5 linked regions of the Macaca mulatta genome follow. The protein of the gene in region 2 interacts with the protein of the main gene of each other region in a pairwise test. Links are inferred from orthologs where the notes say so. Each region holds a gene or a part of one and is shown on either strand. Other genes may lie near its edges. The genes, in order: LSM3, TCL1A, PRTFDC1, CADPS and TXLNA.

What was found.
Region 1: the proteins of TCL1A (region 2) and LSM3 interact in binary tests that used the Homo sapiens proteins (3 or more experiments, as listed by UniProt). The two-hybrid records come from large-scale screens. The link is inferred for Macaca mulatta from reciprocal best matches to the Homo sapiens genes TCL1A and LSM3.
Region 3: the proteins of TCL1A (region 2) and PRTFDC1 interact in binary tests that used the Homo sapiens proteins (3 or more experiments, as listed by UniProt). The two-hybrid records come from large-scale screens. The link is inferred for Macaca mulatta from reciprocal best matches to the Homo sapiens genes TCL1A and PRTFDC1.
Region 4: the proteins of TCL1A (region 2) and CADPS interact in a two-hybrid assay, tested with the Homo sapiens proteins (3 studies listed by BioGRID and IntAct). The two-hybrid records come from large-scale screens. The link is inferred for Macaca mulatta from reciprocal best matches to the Homo sapiens genes TCL1A and CADPS.
Region 5: the proteins of TCL1A (region 2) and TXLNA interact in binary tests that used the Homo sapiens proteins (3 or more experiments, as listed by UniProt). The two-hybrid records come from large-scale screens. The link is inferred for Macaca mulatta from reciprocal best matches to the Homo sapiens genes TCL1A and TXLNA.

What each region holds. Positions count from the first base shown.
Region 1 is NC_133407.1:152,980,352-152,984,662, forward strand, and holds the start of LSM3 (U6 snRNA-associated Sm-like protein LSm3), read left to right. Parts: upstream 1-1,503; 5' UTR 1,504-1,556; coding exon 1,557-1,577; intron 1,578-4,144; coding exon 4,145-4,255; intron 4,256-4,311. Other genes in the region: XPC (DNA repair protein complementing XP-C cells), read right to left, coding at 1,168-1,267. UniProt on the Homo sapiens protein: Plays a role in pre-mRNA splicing as component of the U4/U6-U5 tri-snRNP complex that is involved in spliceosome assembly, and as component of the precatalytic spliceosome (spliceosome B complex).
Region 2 is NC_133412.1:169,015,146-169,019,103, reverse strand, and holds the start of TCL1A (T-cell leukemia/lymphoma protein 1A), read left to right. Parts: upstream 1-1,156; 5' UTR 1,157-1,255; coding exon 1,256-1,375; intron 1,376-2,943; coding exon 2,944-3,114; intron 3,115-3,526; coding exon 3,527-3,574; 3' UTR 3,575-3,584; intron 3,585-3,958. UniProt on the Homo sapiens protein: Enhances the phosphorylation and activation of AKT1, AKT2 and AKT3. Promotes nuclear translocation of AKT1. Enhances cell proliferation, stabilizes mitochondrial membrane potential and promotes cell survival.
Region 3 is NC_133414.1:26,385,813-26,389,814, reverse strand, and holds the start of PRTFDC1 (phosphoribosyltransferase domain-containing protein 1), read left to right. Parts: upstream 1-1,202; 5' UTR 1,203-1,233; coding exon 1,234-1,281; intron 1,282-2,158; exon of another isoform or gene 2,159-2,215; intron 2,216-4,002. UniProt on the Homo sapiens protein: Has low, barely detectable phosphoribosyltransferase activity (in vitro). Binds GMP, IMP and alpha-D-5-phosphoribosyl 1-pyrophosphate (PRPP). Is not expected to contribute to purine metabolism or GMP salvage.
Region 4 is NC_133407.1:126,339,106-126,342,617, forward strand, and holds part of CADPS (calcium-dependent secretion activator 1), read right to left. Parts: intron 1,377-3,512; coding exon 1,044-1,376; intron 1-1,043.
Region 5 is NC_133406.1:208,688,521-208,692,032, reverse strand, and holds part of TXLNA (alpha-taxilin), read left to right. Parts: intron 1-324; coding exon 325-444; intron 445-675; coding exon 676-750; intron 751-1,229; coding exon 1,230-1,322; intron 1,323-1,995; coding exon 1,996-2,091; intron 2,092-2,839; coding exon 2,840-3,133; 3' UTR 3,134-3,512. UniProt on the Homo sapiens protein: May be involved in intracellular vesicle traffic and potentially in calcium-dependent exocytosis in neuroendocrine cells.

The sequences.
Region 1 (4,311 bases), on a different chromosome or scaffold from region 2:
GGTTACATGGAAACACTAGGCCATTTGATACAAGGTACTTGAGCATCACAGGTTTTAGTATCCACGGGGTATCTGGGAAGGACTACCTTAGTTTGCTCAAGGAATGTCTGACTTGAGATTTGAAGAAATCATACCTGGCAAAAGCCATGGTGGGGGGTCACTCTAGGCCGAAGGAATATCAAAGGAAAAGGCTCAAGAAATAACTTGGCATATTTGAGGAAGAGAAAGGAGGCCAATGAGGAGGGTATCTGGCAAGGAAACAAGTGGTAGGAGAAACAGGAGAGGTAGCAAGAGCCAAAACACGTAGCATCTTGCAGGCCAGGATAAGACAACTGGATTTTAAACTAAGAGCAATGGAAAACCAAGGAGAGTTTAAAGCAGGAGCATGGCATGATTTTTTTTTTTTTTTTTAAAGATTATTTGCGTTGCTGGATGCAGAGCTGGGAGGCCAGTCAAGAGGAAACTGCAGTCACTCAACTGAAAGGTGATGGTGACTTGGACAGGGGTTGTGGCCATGGAAATGAAGAGAAGTGGACAAATTTGAAATACAGTCTGAGGCTGAACTGACTGGACTTGCTGACGGGACTGGATGTGTGCACATAAGAAAAAGGTGGACTTTGTTTTATAACAAGTATTGGGACTGGAAAAACGGAGGAAAGCATAGATTTGAAGGGGAAGACCATGAGCTCTGCACTGTCCACGACAAATGTAAGAAGCCTATCCAATATCCACGAGGGGAAGTCAGGTGGGATCCCACTGTGGAACTCTGGGCGAGACTCAGCTGAAGTTATCATTCGGGAGTCAGCACACTGCATCACTCTACGTCCTGGTCCGTCCGTCCGTTTTCCTGGGACACAAATAACTGCCTTCTCCGCGTTCAACCCTGAACATCTGCGCTGTATCCTCTGGACAACGGGGAGCGGGAAAGAAGCTACGCAGGAGCTTGGGTCGGGCGAGGCTCACGGGAAGCCGCTCTGGGTGCAGAGGACAAAGGCGCAGGGACAGCGGGGAGGGCCGGCCGCGGCCTGCCGTGCTGCCCCCACTGCGCGGAACGCGCGCAGCAACCTCCTCCCGGCCTCCGCGTCTGGACTCCCGCCGCCCCTGCCTCTGGGCCTCCTCCGCCCACCGGCAGAGTCTCCCGCGAAGCCCGCTGGGCCACGCTCTCACCCTCCTCCTCCTCACGCCGGGTCTTGCTCTTGGCCTTGGACTTCTGGCTGCGCGTTTCGCGTCCCCGCGGCTCCCCGCCGGCCGCGCGCTTCCGAGCCATATTGCTTGTCGGGGAAAAATCCACTTCGCGAGTGACGCACCAGGCCGCGATGCGTTAGAACGCAGGCCCCGCCCCGAGGCGGGCGCGTCTGGCCACGCCCCTTCGTTGGAGGCCTAGTCACGCCCCCAAAGGAAGCTCCGCCCCATACCCGTGGCCACTAAAAAACCGCGGGAAGCAGGCAAGAGCACAGCAGGTTTCTATTTCCGGTGTATTGTAGCATCACGTTTCCGGAGCTCGGCGTTGCTCTTGTGTTCTCGCGAGAGGCGGGAAAGGGCGCAGGGTTTGAAACATGGCGGACGACGTAGACCAGGTGAGTGAATTTTAAGGCGGTGGCTCGGCGCCGCTTCTTGTACTAAACTGCTTTTTCCAAACGCAGGAAAAATGGCCAGTCGCGCCTCTTCTTTCCAAGTCACACGGCCTAATCCGCCCCATCCTTTCCGTAAACACCCCTGTCCGAATTTTGCTGCAGGCCCTGAGGTCTTTTCCGTTAGAAGGCCACCTGATGACTATTCATCACACTCTTCGCTTTGTTTTTTTAAATCTGTAAATTATTATGCGTGCCTACCTCACGGAGCTGTCAGGATTCCAATAGAAAGCCAGATAATAAAGTTAGGAGTTGTTATTACTGAGCACAACAATTATTTACTCATTCAGCAGAGAGAGTGAACATCAGCTTTGTATGGTTAGACACTGTTCTAAGAGCCAGGGACACTGACATCGATATATAAGTGATCCTTGCCATGACTTGGAGCTTATATTCGCGAGGAGAACAGATAAATATAAATATGTAAGATTTATAGGAACTGTGATGTGCTATGAAGGAAACAAGGAACTGGTATGCAGAATAACAGATGGTCCTAGAAGCTTTTTCACCTGGTCTTTTTCTTCCTCAAATATCTTTGGAGATCATGCTACAACTTAAACTTTCTACTGAAATCTCACCTCCTCAGAGAGGACTTCTGCCCAAATAGCACTCCCCCTACTCTGCTTACCCTGCCTCATTTTTCTTCATAGAACGTTATTTTTTCATATTAAATGTATGCATCTTTGTTTAATGTGTATCTCTCCTGACTAGAATGTAAGTGCCATAACAGTAGGCATTTTGTTTTGTTCATTCTTTTGTCCTTGGGGTTTAGAACAGTGCTGGAAATACTCAACAAATATTTGAGTGAATGAGTTAGATGATCAGAGGAGGCCTCTTTTAAAAGCCAATGTATAAAGCTACAGGATGAAAAAGAACAGAAAGTGGGCATCCCAGACAGAGGCTTAGGTAGCAGTAGAGCTCTGTCATGTGCATATTCTTACAGTATTATAATTATTCATATGCCTATCCACATTAGAATGAGCTCCTTGAGGGTGGAGATTGTGACTTCTGTATCATTGTAATCTAACAGTTGGTTATCTGATCCTTTAACAAACACCTGTTGAACTGAGGGACATAGGGACCAGTTGAGTTAGGTTATTTTTTTTTCTCTCATCGGGCCTTTTGAATCTTTAGCGCCTGTTACGAATTCAGTTACCTTCCTCCACTGGCCTTGTGTACTTACTAAAGAAGCTCTCCTTGAATCATCTAACTCTTTAATGGCTGCAACCCTCCCTTCCATGTGGGTGACCCCAAGTCATCCTAGCCCTGACCTCTAAAACCAGTGTTTCCAGCAGTTCTTTAATAATATAATATTAGTAGGAATCTTTTCTTTTCTTTTTTTTTTTTTGGATGGAGTCTCACTCTATCGCCCAGGCTGGAGTGCAGTGGCGTGATCTCAGTTCACTGCAACCTCTGCCTCCTGGTTCAAGCGATTCTCCTGTCTCAGCCTCCCAAGTAGCTGGGACTACAGGCACGTGCCAGCACGCCTGGCTAATTTTTGTATTTTTAGTAGAGACGGGGTTCACCATGTTGGCCAGGCTGGTCTCAAACTCCTAACCTCAGGTGATCTGCCTTTCTCAGCCTCCCAAAGTGCTGGAATTCAGGCCTGAGCCACCACGCCCAGCCAAAAGGAACCGTTTCTAAGTATTAATATTTTCTGCTTTCCTGGCACTGTTTTAAATGCATTAACTAGTTTCATCCTCATAAGAATCCAGAAGGAAGGTTGTGGCTTTCTCAATTACAAATGAAGAATCTGAGAATTACAGATGGCATGATTTTTAATCTCAGTTCATAAGTGTCAGGTCACAGCCAGGAGTTGAACCCAGACTGCCTGACTCCAAAGTCAGTGCTTGCTTGCTTGTTGGCACCATCTTGGCTCACTGCAACCTCCACCTCCCAGGCTCAGGCAATCCTCCCACCTCAGCCTCGGAGTAGCTGGGACTACAGGCACATGCCACCATGCCCGGCTAAGCCAGTGCTTTGAACCAGTGTTCTATTCTGGCTACTAAATATTCATCTTACTGGCCAGTTGGCAGCCTAACCTCAACCTGTGCTGAATTCATAATCTTCCCATAAACCTACACCTCTACTTGGCATTCTGACTAGTATATGGTAGGCATTAAGTGAGTGTTTTTCCTATGATTACATAATATTTGAGATAAAGCTAAAGTTCCTAAGACCCTATACCCTGAAATCGGGTCAGGCAGTTTGGATTTTGAGGGAACAAAGTATAGTCATGATTATTTTGCTGTGTAACTCCTTCTTATGTATGCGTGTTTTAATCTACATTTATATAGCACATACTATGTGAAAAGTTCTGTTCTAAGCCTTCATATATGTCACTTAAGCCTCATAAAAACAGTATTAGGTAGACACTATTATCTCCATTTTACAGATTAGGAGACTGAGGCAGAAAAAGGTTAAATAACTTGCACATGGTCATACAGCATAGCAGTGATTTAAGCACTACTTTATCTCTAGTACTATATTACTAAACCTGTTTCTGTTATCAGCAACAAACTACCAACACTGTAGAGGAGCCCCTGGATCTTATCAGGCTCAGCCTAGATGAGCGAATTTATGTGAAGATGAGAAATGACCGAGAGCTTCGAGGCAGATTACATGTGAGTAAATTTATCAAGTTACCTTGAAATCAGATTCCTTCCCACCCCCACTCCCT
Region 2 (3,958 bases):
CTTTTCTCTTCTATGTTGTATTCCTGGTAAATCCCGTTATATCTCGACTACCTTAGGCCACCTCAGCTCCTTCTTGGGAATTAGGCTGTCTGGATAGGCAAAGAGGCAGATATCCAGCTGTCAAGTGAATCAGATGTCCTCATCAGATCTCTTAATTTCCACTTTTGTGATATTTCAAAGGATCACAAATTATTTTCTTAGTGCCTGGTCAGAGAACCAGGAAAGAGCTAGAAGGTGAGACACCAAACTCCGTTCCATGGTGATGTTTGAACCAGGTTGGAGCTGGTTTCACATGTTTTTCATTGTGCATGACTTTCTTAATTGCCTTAGTGGGAATGTGTTACTGCAAAATAAAGTGAAATTGTTTTCCTTATTGCTTGTAATTTACAGAGGGATGGTTTTGATAATATAAACCAAGGACTTTTCAAATCCATTGATCTTAGGGTGGAAGGAGGGGTTTCTTTTTAAGTATTCATTTTGAACTATGCTTTCACTAGTAAATTCAAAGCCCAAGGGGAAAAACCCATGTTTCTCCGTTTTGTAATAGCTATTAGATGTCCACAGCATCATCAGACCTGCGGAAAACGCATGCTTTGTGTATGGAAGACGGAGCGTCAGGAGTTGTTCTTTGCCAAGAAATGGACCCTGACACTCAAAGGCACAAGCTGGAGGAGATCCAGGGAACCCGGGAAAGCCCAGGCCTAACTCAGGCCCGCGTGGGTCTCTTCTGATCCCAGAAGATGAGGACTGGGTCCCGGCTCTGGGCATCCTAGCGTCGACTGTGAGTTCCCAGCAGAGGCCCATAGTCCCGGTCCGGCAGCCGAGGGAAGCGGCGGGGTCTCCCAGAAGAAGAAAGGGCCAAGGTCACCCCGGGTGACTCTCCAGCAGCAGCGGAGGGCGGCGGTCGGGGTCGCTGCTGGCCGGGGCCTCGAGGAAGCCGCGGGTCAGCCAGGGCTGGGTCTCCGTTCCCAGGCGCTGCCACCGTTCCAGGGAGCCAGTCAGGCCGGGACGTAGCGCCTGCGTGGGACCCTCGCTTGCCACCGGGACCCCCACAAACCCCGCCCCATCCTGCCTTACGCCCCGCCCCCAGGTCGTCCTCCCGACCCAGGGTCCCGCCCCAAGGCCGTCCTCCCGCCCCGCCGCTTGGTGGCGGCCGCATGCTGCCCGGATATAAAGCGTCGGCCCCACATCCCAGGGACCAGCGAGCAGCCTGGAGAGGCTCTGGCTCTTGCTTCTTAGGCGGCCCGAGGGTGCCATGGCCGAGTGCCCGTTACGTGGGGAGGAAGTCACCGACCACCCGGACCGCCTGTGGGCCTGGGACAAGTTCGTATATTTGGACGAGAAGCAGCGCGCCTGGCTGCCCTTAACCATTGAGGTACAGCCAGCTCTGGAGCGGATGGCGAGGCAGCAGGGGCAGCCCCCGGGAGTTTGAGATGCCCTAGGAAGGGTGAGGCCTTGAGAAGCACCCACTGTGGGGCAGGGAGGATCCCCACAGATGAAGCCACTTTGAGCCGGGCTCTGGAGGATGAATAGGAGTTCTCCAGGCAGGGAAAAAGGGTGGGAAAACCGCAAAGAAATGTCGGCCAAAGGAGGGGACCCAGTGCCTGTGGAGTGTGACTATATGTTGACTACAGTAGGGCTTTTCTGGGCTTCGGGGTCCTAATCCTTAAAAATGGGTATCTCTAAGTGACTCATCCATACGGCCGATTATCGGAATCATCTTAGGTGGGTCCCAGAAATCTGTATTTTAAAAAGAACCCTCAACAGCTCAAAAGAACACGTCAACCAGGCATAGCAACCACTGCCCTAGAGTGTGAAGTATTTTCCATGACCTCTGTGCTTTATTTAGAAAACAAATTTAACAAGTGATGTCGTAGTATAAGCGCCGGTATTGAATCAATATTGACTTTGTTTTATGTGTGATGCCTTAAGATGGGTCCTTAGTCCATGTTAAGTTTTTGTTAAACAAATATATAACTCTTTTACAAGTATTTGGATTTACTCGATGAAAAAGAGTCAAAAAATGTTCAAACTCTTTCCAAACATAGACTGAAGAAAGCATAAAAAATTAAAACAAATTAGAACATGTATGTCCAGTAGCAAACAATCAAAAATTATTGAGTGTTAACTGTGTCTCTACAGATGAGAAACTGAGGCACAAAAATGTACATTTGTCCAAGGTAGGGCTGCTAGTAGGTAATGGGGTTGGAATTCTAGGCTGTTAACCACCACCAAAATTTGCATTTTTATTGGCACTTCAATTTTTTAAATATGTTTTTACTTTAATAATCAAGTTAAACATTTACTTTTTTAAAATCAAAATTTGAAGAAATAATCTGAATATTCGGTGAATTTCTTTTTTTAAATCTCTGGTTGAGAAATCTCTTCAACGTGACACCAGAATCATAAACCAGACAGTTTTTCATATAATCATGATAAATGCCACACAAAAACCCACTAGCAAACTGTGGGACAGATTTTGCCTCACATCATTGAAAAGGCCAGTATTCTTTTCCTTTCTTCTTTCTTTGTCTTTTTTTTTTTTTTTTTTTTTTTTTTTCCGTAGAGACAGGGTCTCGCTCCGTCATTCAGGCTGATTAAACTCCTGGCCTCAAGCGATCCTCCTGCCTCGGCCTTCCGAAGCACAGGAATTACAAGTGTGAGCCACTGCAACCCGCCAGAAAAAAAGTGTGCCTTTCATGGCCCTGTCTGGGTGGCTAGACACATGTGCGTGCTGGTGATCCTGGCCCAGCCAGAGTCCCTGAGAGGAGCATGCATGGCCTAAGGAAGTGAGCTTCAGGGAACAGTGATGACCGTCATTTCATACTCGGACCCCTGCCCAAATGGGTGGGTGGCTGGCAGGAAGGACTCTGGTTTTCTGTGCCTGGAGGAGCCCTGGCAAGCGGAACCTGAAAGTATGCCCTGTGCTCTTCTTCTCCTCAGATAGAGGATAGGTTACGGGTGCTCTTTCGTCAGGAAGACATCATCCTGGGGAATCCTATGACCCCCACCCAGATAGGCCCAAGCTTGCTGCCTATCTTGTGGCAGCTCTACCCTGATGGACGATACCGATCCTCAGACTCCAGTTTCTGGCGCTTAGTGTACCACATCAAGGCGAGTGTGCTTCTCCCAGGGATCCATCGGGTGATCTTGGGTTTCCCCTCCTCCGTGTCTGGCCTTAGTGGTTTATCTTCCCTCCATCCCAGTCCCAAAAGCATCAAAAATTGGGGGGAATGGACAACTGAGGATTTCTAAAGGACTTTCCCAGAGAGAAGATAGATCCTCTGAGGTATCTAACAGAACCCTACCTCCCCTTCCTCCCAGCCCCCCAGCTGGCCGCAGGAAGACATCTCCCGTGGGCAGCCACAGGCTGAAGGCTGGTGGGAGGAGGAGCAGTCTCCGAGAGCCCCTGAAATTCACACTTGGGTTCCTACCTGCTGTTTCCAGCTAGGGGAAGGCGCAGGAGTGAGGAATGGAGGGAGTGGAGGGCTCTGGCCGATCAATGCCTTCTCTGTCTGCCTCTCAGATTGACGGCGTGGAGGACATGCTTCTCGAGCTGCTGCCAGATGACTGAGTGTGGCACGGTGAGCTCCACTGACCAGGGCTTGACCCCTCTTAGTCCACAGTGGCTGTACCAGAAGGAAAGACCACCCGTTCTCCATGAAGGCAGTGCTAACCCCTCCCCGACTGCTGCCATCTCAGGCCTCCCAGGGATGGGAGAGTCTTCCTGGAGGCACCCATGTCTCTCCCTTACCACTTTGGGAGCCCCCTTTATCGCAGCTGCTCATATCTACACAGTACTTCACAACTTCACGTTTCAGCGAGTACTTCAGTTCCCATTGCCTTTTGTTTTTTTTTGTTTTGAGTCTCGCTCTGTCGCCCAGGCTAGAGTACAGAGGTGCAATCTCAGCTCACTGTAAGCTCTGCCTCCTGGGTTCATACCATTCTCCCGCCTCAG
Region 3 (4,002 bases), on a different chromosome or scaffold from region 2:
AATCTAGAACGTCATTAACCGATTGATAACTATTTTCCCTTTAAACTAGGCAAAATCAGCATTCCTCTCCCCTCTGTGTGCCAGAATCCGAAGATGAACAAAAGAGGCCTGCATCAGGAAAACTGTGTTCAGTTCTCTTGGATTCAGGCCTTCAACCTGAATTGGGTTGAGTGAATGAAGATGCTGATGAGATGTCAGGGACCTGGGGACTGAAGACACACCCAGAAAAAGCAGGACCCTGCAGGAGTGGACAAAGAACTGGAGCACAGGGATGTGAGAGGGGTTGAAATGAACAACAGACTCATACGAGAAGGATTTCTAATCAGAAGAGAGTGACTGCTTTAATAAAGCTGCAACCTGGAACAATTACAATCTGACCAGATGTTCTTGCAAAACTGGTAAAGCAGAGAATGTGAAAAAATCTCTCCCCCTCCTCCCCTGAATGCAGTTGACCAAAGGCTGAAAGGCCGGATCCTGAAAGCCCAGATCTGATCCCTGCAGATCTGGGCCACCCTAAAAGCAATCGGGTGTAATCTTTCCAGCTCCAGGCCCTGGGATGAGGAAGATGGGGGGAAGGCAGAGAAAGGCGGAGGAAGGTGGAGGGAGGTGAGAGGAGGTGGAGGGAAGTGAGGGGAAGTGGAGGGAGGTGAGGGGAGGTGGAGAGAGGTGGGTGGCGGCTCCAGGGTTTGAAAACACATCCAGGACACTTGCCCATCCTCCAAGAGCACGCCGGCTCGCAGGCTCTTTCACGCTTCTGCTTGGGACAATCGCGTGCATGAAATCTGGCAGGGAAGAGCCAAGGAGATTGTTAGCCCGAGGGCTAGGACGGTGGATCTGGGAAGCAGGGGCCTGGGGGACACGTTCTCTTCCTGCCGCGGGCTGCCTCGTGCTCCCGAGTCCCCGCGGGGCCTGGCGGCGAGGCCGGGGGCTGCAGGCGACCATCCGGCAGGCGGCGGCGGCGACAGCGGTGGCCGCGAGGGACGCGCCCGGGGCCCGCGCTCACGGGGAGCGGTCGCGGCTTGGCAGCTGCTCCCCGCGCCCCCGCGGCCTCGCCAGGGGAGGGGGCGCCGCGCCGGGGCCCTGGATCCGCGCCAGGCCGCTGCTTCCAGCCGGCGGGCCCGGGGCGGGGCGGGGCGGCCGGGTCCCCATCCCCAAGTCCCTTCCCCCACGCAACCTTCGCCCTCCCAGCTCCTTCCCGCGCCGTCTTCCCTTCCCGCGTTCCCCGGGAGAAACATGGCCGGGAGCAGCGAGGAGGCGCCAGACTACGGGCGAGGCGTCGTGGTAAATGCAAACTCCCGATTTTGGGGCTCGCCCCGCTCCCCTTCCTCCCTGGCACCCTGCTTGTAGATTAAATGCCTGCCGTGCGTCGGGAGAGAAAGCGGGCCACCGCTTTGTTCTCCCTCCTGGCGGGGATCGCTTCCATCCTCAGACCCTGGCCTCCTCTCCCCGCCCCCAATCTGAGGAAACGCCGAGTCCCGTCCCTTCACCCCGAGTTCCCAGCGTCCCCCCGCGTCCTCCGGCCGGTAGCCCGCTCCTGCAGCGTCCCGCCGGCGCCCAGCCGTCCCCATCCCAGCGAGCCACGGGGAGCAGCTTCTGGGAGCCGGCCGGGCCGAGACACCCGCGTGCTGCTCTGTAGGCCTCCTTCTTCCTGGGCCTCCTCTTCCAGAGCGGGCTTCAAGTTTTGTTTTTAAAAAGGACACTGAGGGGTTTTGAAGGCAGCCAGGAAATAAAGTAGCTCAAGTTGACAGAACTTGAGCTCTGAAGCCTTTGGTACCCAGGTTGGGGGGCTCTCTGGCAGTGGAGGCCTCTGCAGGAGCTCTGGGACACGCTCCTGCGGGACCTATGGTTTGTCTGTAAAAGGGAGCAACAGCAGGCTGGGCTCCGGAGCGAATTGGGAGGATGCATGTAAAATATCTAGCAGTGTGTCCGGATGGGAGGGTGTGGGATGCTGGTTTCCCAGAACTGAGACTCCTGTTGGTGTCAGCCAGAGGGTCAGTGTGCTAGGATCTAATCCGTTCTTGACCTTGTGGCCGCGTCCTCCCTGCTCCCTGAGAAGTGGTTTTCCTAGAAGGTGGTGGTTATAACTTGTGTCAAGTTCAATGTGAAACTCAATGGTGGTGAGGATGGTGGGTGGAGCTAACTTGCCATCTCTTTCCAGGGATCAGCTTGTCGTTCACAGATAATCTGTTTATGAATATGAATGGCCTGAACTAAAGTAAGTGGGCTGGGGAGGGAAAGGTGACACACTCAGACAGAACCGGTCAGGTTGAAATGTGGGGCTCAGTGCTTAATTTAACAGCAGGCCCTTTCCTTCTTAAAGGATGAGGTGTTGATTTATTTATTCATTCCACAAGTTGATTGTCCTGCTGGGTTGCAGAAGGTGTTGTAGGCGCTGGGGTGCAAAAGACAAAGGCCTTGTCTTCATGAGCTTGCGTTCTAGAGAAGACACAGGCAAGCAGTGTGTAAACAAATAGAGAAAATTTCCAGTAGAGATGTGCAATAGGAGGAGGGTAACAGGATAGAGGGTAATTGGAGGAGAAGCGGGGAGTGATGCTTTTGCTCAGGTGGTCAGGGCAGCCTCTCCGCGGTGACCTTTGAACTAAGATCTGAAGGGTACACAGGAGTAGCCATGTGGACTGCAGGCGGAGACCCGCATATCAAATGCAAAAGAATCATTGTATCCGATTTATGCTTTTATAAAAACCATTCCAGTTGCCCCAGGAGGAGGGGCAAGCCTAGCGGTGTGATGGATGGGAGGGAGACTAAAACGCAAAAAGGGCAATCACTAAGTTCATTGTGGACAAATTGAGTCTGCAGTGCCTGTAAGGCCCACAGATCGGGCTGCACTGTAGGCAATTTGTGAAATTCACATTTGGAATTCAGGAGAGCGATTGGAGAGATTTGGAAATCAGCAGAAAGAATAATATTTAATGTTCAGGAATGCTCAGTGAATGTGGAAAAAACAATTAAAGCAACTGTTAAGGATGGAAGCCTGGAAAGTCCCAAATGTAGGAGGCTGCCTGTGGGGGAGAAGCTGGTTGAAGGAACCGAGAAAGAACGCTGAAGGGTGGGAGGGCAGGCAGGGTGGTGGGTGCCTTGGGAACAGAGCATTGTTGAGCGGGAGGGGCGGTGTCAAGAGGTCATCAGAAGTGTCAGATGCTACAGGGACAGCAAGTTGGATACCAAGATGGAAAACAGCCACTGTATTTAACAATTACAAAGTCATTAGTAGGGAGAATCTTTTAAACAACCACTCCATTGGTAGAACAGTTAAAATATAGTACAAGTTGAGCATCCCTAATCCAAAAATCCAAAATCCAAAATGCCCCCAAATCTGACACTTTCTGTGCGCCAACATGATGCTGAAAGGAAATACTGGCTGGAGCATTTTGGATTTCGGATTTTCAGATTAGGGATGCTCAACCAGGAAGTAAATGCAAATATTCCAAAATCCAAAGAAAAAAAAAAAAACATCAGTAATTAGAAACACATCTGGTCCCAAGCATTTTGGGTGAGGCGTACTCAACTTGTACTACCATAACATACTAGATACTTTTAGAAAAGAATAAGGTGGATCTAGATGCACTGATAGAGTAGGTAAATTGTTGAAGTCTAAGAAACAAGTGAGAGAACATTGTAAATAGCCCAGTCTATTGGTGTCAACAGAGGTCCTCCTGGAAGCAAGGTAATTTTTTGAAAAATGCAAAGAGGTAGTAAGAGGGGTATAAAGAGAATAGAGGGCCAGGTGAGGTGGCTCATACCTGTAATCCCAGCACTTTGGAAGGCCAAGGTGGGTAGATCACCTGAGGTCAGGAGTTCAATAAAATCCTGACCAACATTGTGAAACCTAGCTGCTACTAAAAATACAAAATTAGCTGGGCATGGTAGTACATGCCTGTAACCACAGCTACTCGGGAGGCTGAAGCAGGAGAATTGCCTGAACCCGGGAGGTGGAGGTTGCAGCAAGCTGAGACTGTACCATTGCACTCCAGCCTGGGCAAC
Region 4 (3,512 bases), on a different chromosome or scaffold from region 2:
CCAATATCTTTGAATGTGATGCATGTGTTGTATTATGAAATGCTAAACAGACTCTTACTAAAGCATCCAGAAAATTCTAGGTGATATATCATAGTTGATAAGACCCTACCTACTAGTTAAAATAATTTTCCATTATCCATTTATTAATTCAATAAACATTTACTGAGCATTCACTATGTGTCAAGATTTTATACACTGGGAATATTAGCAAACAAGGCAAAGATGAATCTCTCTGATAATTCTTTGAAGGCGAAGGGCAACATAATTACCAGGAAGGAAGGCCCTTGTTTAAAATGCAGATTCCTGGGCCATGCTCTGAGGCTGCAGAATGAGAATCTCTAGGGCTAGGGGCTGGGAATGTGCTCCTAAGAGACACCCAGTAAGAATTCCAGACTGCAAAATAGGCACATAATAAATATTTATTGAATAAATGAATATAATGCTAAGATTAGGTAGGATATCAAGATACGAGATACCTCGCTTTCCCGGTCCTCTATCTAGAGGAAATACAGGCCCATTTTGGGGTGGACCCAAGCAGAGCCTCAGCTCTCACTATCAGAACCACTCAGAAATTCATGATGTGACTAATATACAGGTATTAGGCCTTGTGCAAATTTCCCATTTTAAAAAATTTCTCTTGACAGGCAGGTGCTAAGTTCAGTTGTCTTCCCACCTGAGGAAGCACAAGCCCTTCCACTGGCAAACACCAAAGGCAAAACCATATTTTTTTTTAAATTGATTTTTAGCACTTTTGACACATGGAAACCAGACCTTACTCATAGGGCCAACTTACCCATTAGACACAATGAGCTCAGTGCCTAGGGCCCCTGAGACTTTTAGGAGCTCACAGAATTTTTTTTTTTTTTTTTTTTTTTTAAGAAGAAGAAAAGCATGAATATAATGTAGCCTAAATAGTATTCAACTTTTTACCAGTAGAGTAATAACTTTTAATCCAGTAAAAAAAAAATCAAGAAGCATCTCATAGAAGTCGGAATGCAGCTCTGCTTACCCACAGCTCTGGGCCCAGGTGAGAAACGCCTTACCTGGCAGGCATTGTACAGGAGCTGATGTTCGAACTTCTTGATCCCAAGAATGTTCTGGAACATCTCATAGAGTTGCTCCTTGCTCAGAATCAGCTCGGAGGCTGCGCTGGCTGTCATCCGGGCCTGCTGCTTCCGGGGGTCCTCTTCTCCACGGTAGATGGCATCAAATTTGGCCATCCAGGAGCTCAGCACAGTCTCCTTGCTGAGGCCATCAATCTCGGGCAGGCTGCGCACCCTCTTCTCAATGTGCTTCTTGAAGACCTCCCGGGAGTCGTTGGCAGAACAGCCTCCACTCTGCACCATGCGGGCCACACGGTCGCTCTTCAGGAACACCTAAGCAAGAACAGGGACAGGAAAGACAGTAAGAGAGTTGGCCACAGAGGGACCAGTTTCCTGGGGCTGGACACTGGGCCAGCCCACCTCACGTGCATCCCAGGAGGAACCACTGTGGGTCTCGTCTTGCCCTACCACCTCCTGGCTGTGCAAACTCAAACTAGTTACTTACACATTCTGCTTCTGTGTCCACATCTGTAAGATAAGAATAACACTTGTACCTACCAGGTTGTTGCAAGGGTTAACGAGATGATACTATCATGAGAGGCAGCACATAGCATAGAGACCTCTGCCCAGGCTGCATAGGTCTTGCCCCTTAGTGGCTGTGTGACTTTGGGCAAGTTAACCTCTTTGTACCTCAGTGTTCTCATTTATAAAATGGGGATAATAGTATTTATTTAATGTTCAATTTCCTTTTGAGACAGTCTTGCTCTGTCACCTAGGCTGGAGTACAGTGACATAATCACAGCTCACTGCAACCTCCTCCTCCCAGGCTTAAGTGACCTCCAGCCTCAGCCTTATGATCAGCTGGGACTACAGGTGCATGCCAGCACATCTGGCTAATTTTATTTTATTTTATTTTTGTATTTTTGGTAGAGTCAGGGTTTCACCATGTTGCCCAGGTTGGTCTCAAACTTCTGGGCTCAAGCAACCCATCCACCTCGGCCTCCAAAAGTGCTGGGATTACAGGCGTGAATCAATGCACCCAGCATTTAATTTTTTTTTTTTAAATAGAGGCAGGACTTTGCTCTGTTATCTAAGTCAGACTTCAGTGGTGATCATGATGCACTGCAACCTCAAACTCCTGGGCTCAAGCCATCCTCCTGCTTCAGCCTCCAAGTAGCTGGGACTATAAGTGTGTGCCAGTATGCCTTGACAATTTTTAAAACTTTTTGTAGAAACAGGGTCTTGCTGTGTTGCCCAGGCCAGTATGTATTTTTAAATGAGGATTAAATGTGTTAACATGTAAAACACACACAAAATAGTGCCTGGCCCATATTACACTTGTTGCTGTTATTATTATTATATGTAAATGCCTGGCATGATATCCGGCACATAGCGTTAAACATTAACCACTATTTGTATCTCCTTTTATCCCTTCAATGACACTTTTAATTGGAAGTATACAAGTATCAGGTAAACATATATTTAATTATCTATCTTCCTTCCTTAAATGTAAACTCTACTTGGGCAAGGAATGTGTCCTTGTTCCTTGCAATGTCTTCAGGTCCTAGAATGTCTTCAGCAGTTGACACTTTAAAAGTGAATTAAGGGTGAACATAGGTATTATGTTAAGTTTATTTTGTAGATGAAAAACCGAGACTTCAGAGAGGGGAAGGGACTTTCTTTTGGTAACTCAAATTGTCTAACTACCAATAGATAGTCTTTTTACTTCACCGTGGTTACCTTCCTTCCCGCAGAGTTCTCCTGCTTAATGAAAACCTCTTCCGCCTGGTGGAAAATCCCTGGTTGGTCTGCTGGTGCTGCCTGGTTGAGTCCTGGGACCAAGCTTTCTATTAAGAATGTCTTACTTTCGCTCCACTGCCCACCATTCGGAAGCTTACATGAGCTACACGGTTCTGGGGTGTAATACAAGGCAGTGAAGCCGCCATTTCATATTCACGGAGAGGAAGCATCTGACAGGTTTGAGCTGTGTCCTGGTCACACTTCAGAAGGTGCATAAATATCCTTCAAGAGGCAGAGCAAACGTTCATTCCCCTGTCAGATTTCAGGAAATGCACTTGTTGGCCATGAGACAGCACTGCCTGGGGGCGTCTCATTGCCTCATGCTTCATTGCAAAGCCTTTCTGGGGTGGAGAAATGTTTTTTTAAAAAAGGCTCCAGTTTATTGTTGACTTTAATGAACTAATTTAGAAAGGAGGGCTGAGGGTTTGCCTCACAGGGTAGAGGCCATGGCCTGCCCCCCTGTGAGTGGGAACTGGTACTCAGATGAGACCTTAGAGTTAATTTGAAAATTAATTATAGACAAAAAAGTTTCAAATGAATCCTCAGGCCTTATGAGTCTTAATGAGCTAAATAATTCACCTGAAAACCTGTAACACTTAATGGGGATGGTTTCTCCATCTAACCAACACATTACGGATCTCAAACAACAGCACTTTTAGGCTAGTGGAG
Region 5 (3,512 bases), on a different chromosome or scaffold from region 2:
ACACAGAAGTGAGGGCTTCCAACCCCATAGGTGATCAATCCTGGGGTCAGAGATTTGAGTGTGTTTATTGCTTGGCTTCTTGGGAGCAGATTCCATCCATAAACCATGTACTTACCAAAGTCTGACTCACTGGGAGAGAAACGAGGTGAGCTTGGAAAGATGACCTTCCAGAGACTTGGGGCCCATGTTGTGTGGTACACATGGGAGTCCAGCATATCAGATTGAGATGGGGGGCTGGGCAAAGTGCCCTGGTCTTTGGCTGTGGGGCCACCCTGAGAAAAGGAGCTCCTGACAAGCTGACGGCTCCCACCATCTTTGCTGCAGCATATCGACAAAGTCTTCAAACACAAGGACCTACAACAGCAGCTGGTGGATGCCAAGCTCCAGCAGGCCCAGGAGATGCTAAAGGAGGCAGAAGAGCGGCACCAACGGGAGAAGGATTTTGTGAGGCTTAGGCCCAAGGGTTGGGATGGGGGTGTGGGAGGAGGCAGGTTGGGCTGTGGCTCAGTTCATAGCCGGGTTATATGGGAGAAGTTGTCTGGCCAGACCAGGCACAGATTCCTTGAGTATCAGTCTGAGAGCAGGAAACCTTGGTGGGTTTGGTGCTTGTGGCTAAAAACCAAACATAGCCCCTGGGGGCTTCTGACAGGATCTGGGGTTCTGTCTTGGAAATAGCTCCTGAAAGAGGCAGTAGAGTCCCAGAGGATGTGTGAGCTGATGAAGCAGCAAGAGACCCACCTGAAGCAACAGGTGAGAGCATATAACCTGACCCTGTGCCTTCAAGGTCCCCTCACTGGGCCCCATCCTGGGGGTAGTGAAATGGGACCCTCATTCTAGGACTGGCTGTGTCCTGGCTGCTATGAGACCTTGGTTGAGCCTTTGTTCTCTCTGGACCTGCACAGTACCTATATGGTGGTGACCAGGTAGTTAGGTGGGCTCAGAGGATTTCATTTGTAGCTCAGAAATGTTGTATTGCTTTTGAGGAGGTGGGAACAAAAGAGTTTGAAAATCAACATAAAGGCAAAATAAAAGTCACCCTAAGTCTCCTACTTTCCAGGCTTAGCATTTTGGATTATATCCTTCCAAATACATAGCTTTGCTTTGTTTTAAGGAAAAATAGTATCTCAATAGAATTACTGGGTCAGAGGGTCAAGGACAGGTCTGAGTGTGTTGACCAGAGTGCCTCCCAGAGAAACCCAATCTTATCTGTGGGCTGCTTTCTCCCCCAGCTTGCCTTATACACAGAGAAGTTTGAGGAGTTCCAGAACACACTTTCCAAAAGCAGCGAGGTGTTCACCACATTCAAGCAGGAGATGGAAAAGGTAACTGTGGTCCAGGCCACGCATGGCTCCTGGAGCATAAGCTGCTTCATTCAAAATGGTTGGGCCTGCCTTCAGGAAGCTCCCATCTGGGGTGTCTCAAGGGTGGGGCTGTTAGGAGAGTTCACAGCCTTTCCCCTCTCGAGGCAGTATCAGTGGTGTGTATACCCTCCAGGTTGTCCCGGGGAATGGGGCAGCCATTTCTTTTGTTTGTTTGTTTGTTTTGAGATGGAGTCTCGCCCTGTTTCACTGGCTGGAGTGCAGTGGCACGATCTCAGCTCATTGCAGCCTTTGTGCCCCGTGTTAAAGTGATTCTCCTGCCTCAGCCTCCTGAGTAGCTGGAATTACAGGCACGTGCCACCATGCCTGGCCTTTTTTTTTTTTTTTTTTTTTTTTTTTTTTGGTATTTTTAGTAGAGACAGGGTTTCACCATGTTGGCCAGGGTGGTCTTGAACTCTTGGCCTCAAGTGATCCACCCACCCTGGCCTCCCAAAGTGCTGGGATTCTGGCCCCTTACCATTTCTTGTTGTTAGTGGTGGACACTTGTGACTTCTGGTGGTAAGGTGGCACAGAGGGCATTGACTGCACCCTGTAATCAGTCAGTCCCCACCTTGGAGACACAGGTGCACAGAGAGGCCGGCTCTGACCATTTCCTTCTGTCTGTCACATAACCTAGATGACTAAGAAGATCAAGAAGCTGGAGAAAGAAACCACGATGTACCGGTCCCGGTGGGAGAGCAGCAACAAGGCCCTCCTTGAGATGGCTGAGGAGGTGGGCTGTCTGTGATCTGCAGCCAGGGTGGGGGTGTGCACTTAGCGCATATCAGGCCCTTTCCTGTGTGTTCTACCCATCAGTGACACAGCTAGCATGAGGTAGAGGTGAGATTTGCACACATTGTCCAAGTCCAAAGTTAATGCTGTTCTCTCCCCATGGGAGATGGTGAGCCCAGTGGTAGGTCTCCAGTGGGAGTGAAGGGAGCAAATGGAAGAAAGGAATAAAAGAGCAGAAAAAACAGGGGTGCCAGTGATGTGCCTGGTTTACATGTAAAGCAGCCCAGGTAATTTGTGATTTCATGGCTTCTAATGTAGAAGAAAGGAACTAACACTGATGGAGCAGCAACGACAAGCCAGACCTTGCTGAATGTTTTTGGGTTTGTCTTTTTTTTTTTTTGCTGCTGAATGTTTTTAGGTACGTGGTTCATTGAACCTTCTCTTGAGATCCGAGGATGGTATTAGTAGTCCTGTTTTACAGATGAGACAGGCTCAAAAGCCAAGTCCTTTGCCAAGGTCATGTGGTAGATAAATGGAGGAATATGTTATGTCCAAGCCGAGCCCCTTTTCTGCACCACACTGCCCCACCTGACAGTCTAGTCATGGCTTCAACCAGGACTGTTTCCTAGAGGGGGCCAGCTTCGGACTCAGTCTGCTCCCAGCCTTGTTAAAAGTGTTTGTCACCAAGTAGTGATGGTAAGTGGGAGGTTGATGGGGCATGGCACTGAAGGTCTCATTTCTCTCCCTAGAAAACAGTCCGGGATAAAGAACTGGAGGGCCTGCAGGTAAAAATCCAACGGCTGGAGAAGCTGTGCCGGGCGCTGCAGACAGAGCGCAATGACCTGAACAAGAGGGTACAGGACCTGAGTGCTGGTGGCCAGGGCTCCCTCACTGACAGTGGCCCTGAAAGGAGGCCAGAGGGGCCTGGGGCTCAAGCACCCAGCTCCCCCAGGGTCACAGAAGCACCTTGCTACCCAGGAGCACCGAGCACAGAAGCATCAGGCCAGACTGGGCCTCAAGAGCCCACCTCTGCCAGAGCCTAGAGAGCCTGGTGCTGGGGCATGCTGGGAAGGGAGCAGCAGCCCAGCCAGGCCTGGCCCATAAAAAGCTCCCATGCTGAGCAGCCCATTGCTGAAGCCAGGATGTTCTGACCTGGCTGGCATCTGACACTTGCAATTTTGGATTTTGTGGGTCAGTTTTACGTACATATGGCATATTGCAAGGCCTAATGCATTTATACCTATAAGTGTACAGTGGGCTTGCATTGGGGATAGGGGTGTGTACAGATGAAGTCAGTGGCTCCTCTGTCAGCTGAAGAGTCTTGAGAGGGGCTGTCATCTGTAGCTGCCATCACAGTGAGTTGGCAGGACAAGTGACTTGAGCATTTCTCTGCCTGACTTGAGGCTCAGACCCCTCCTTGCC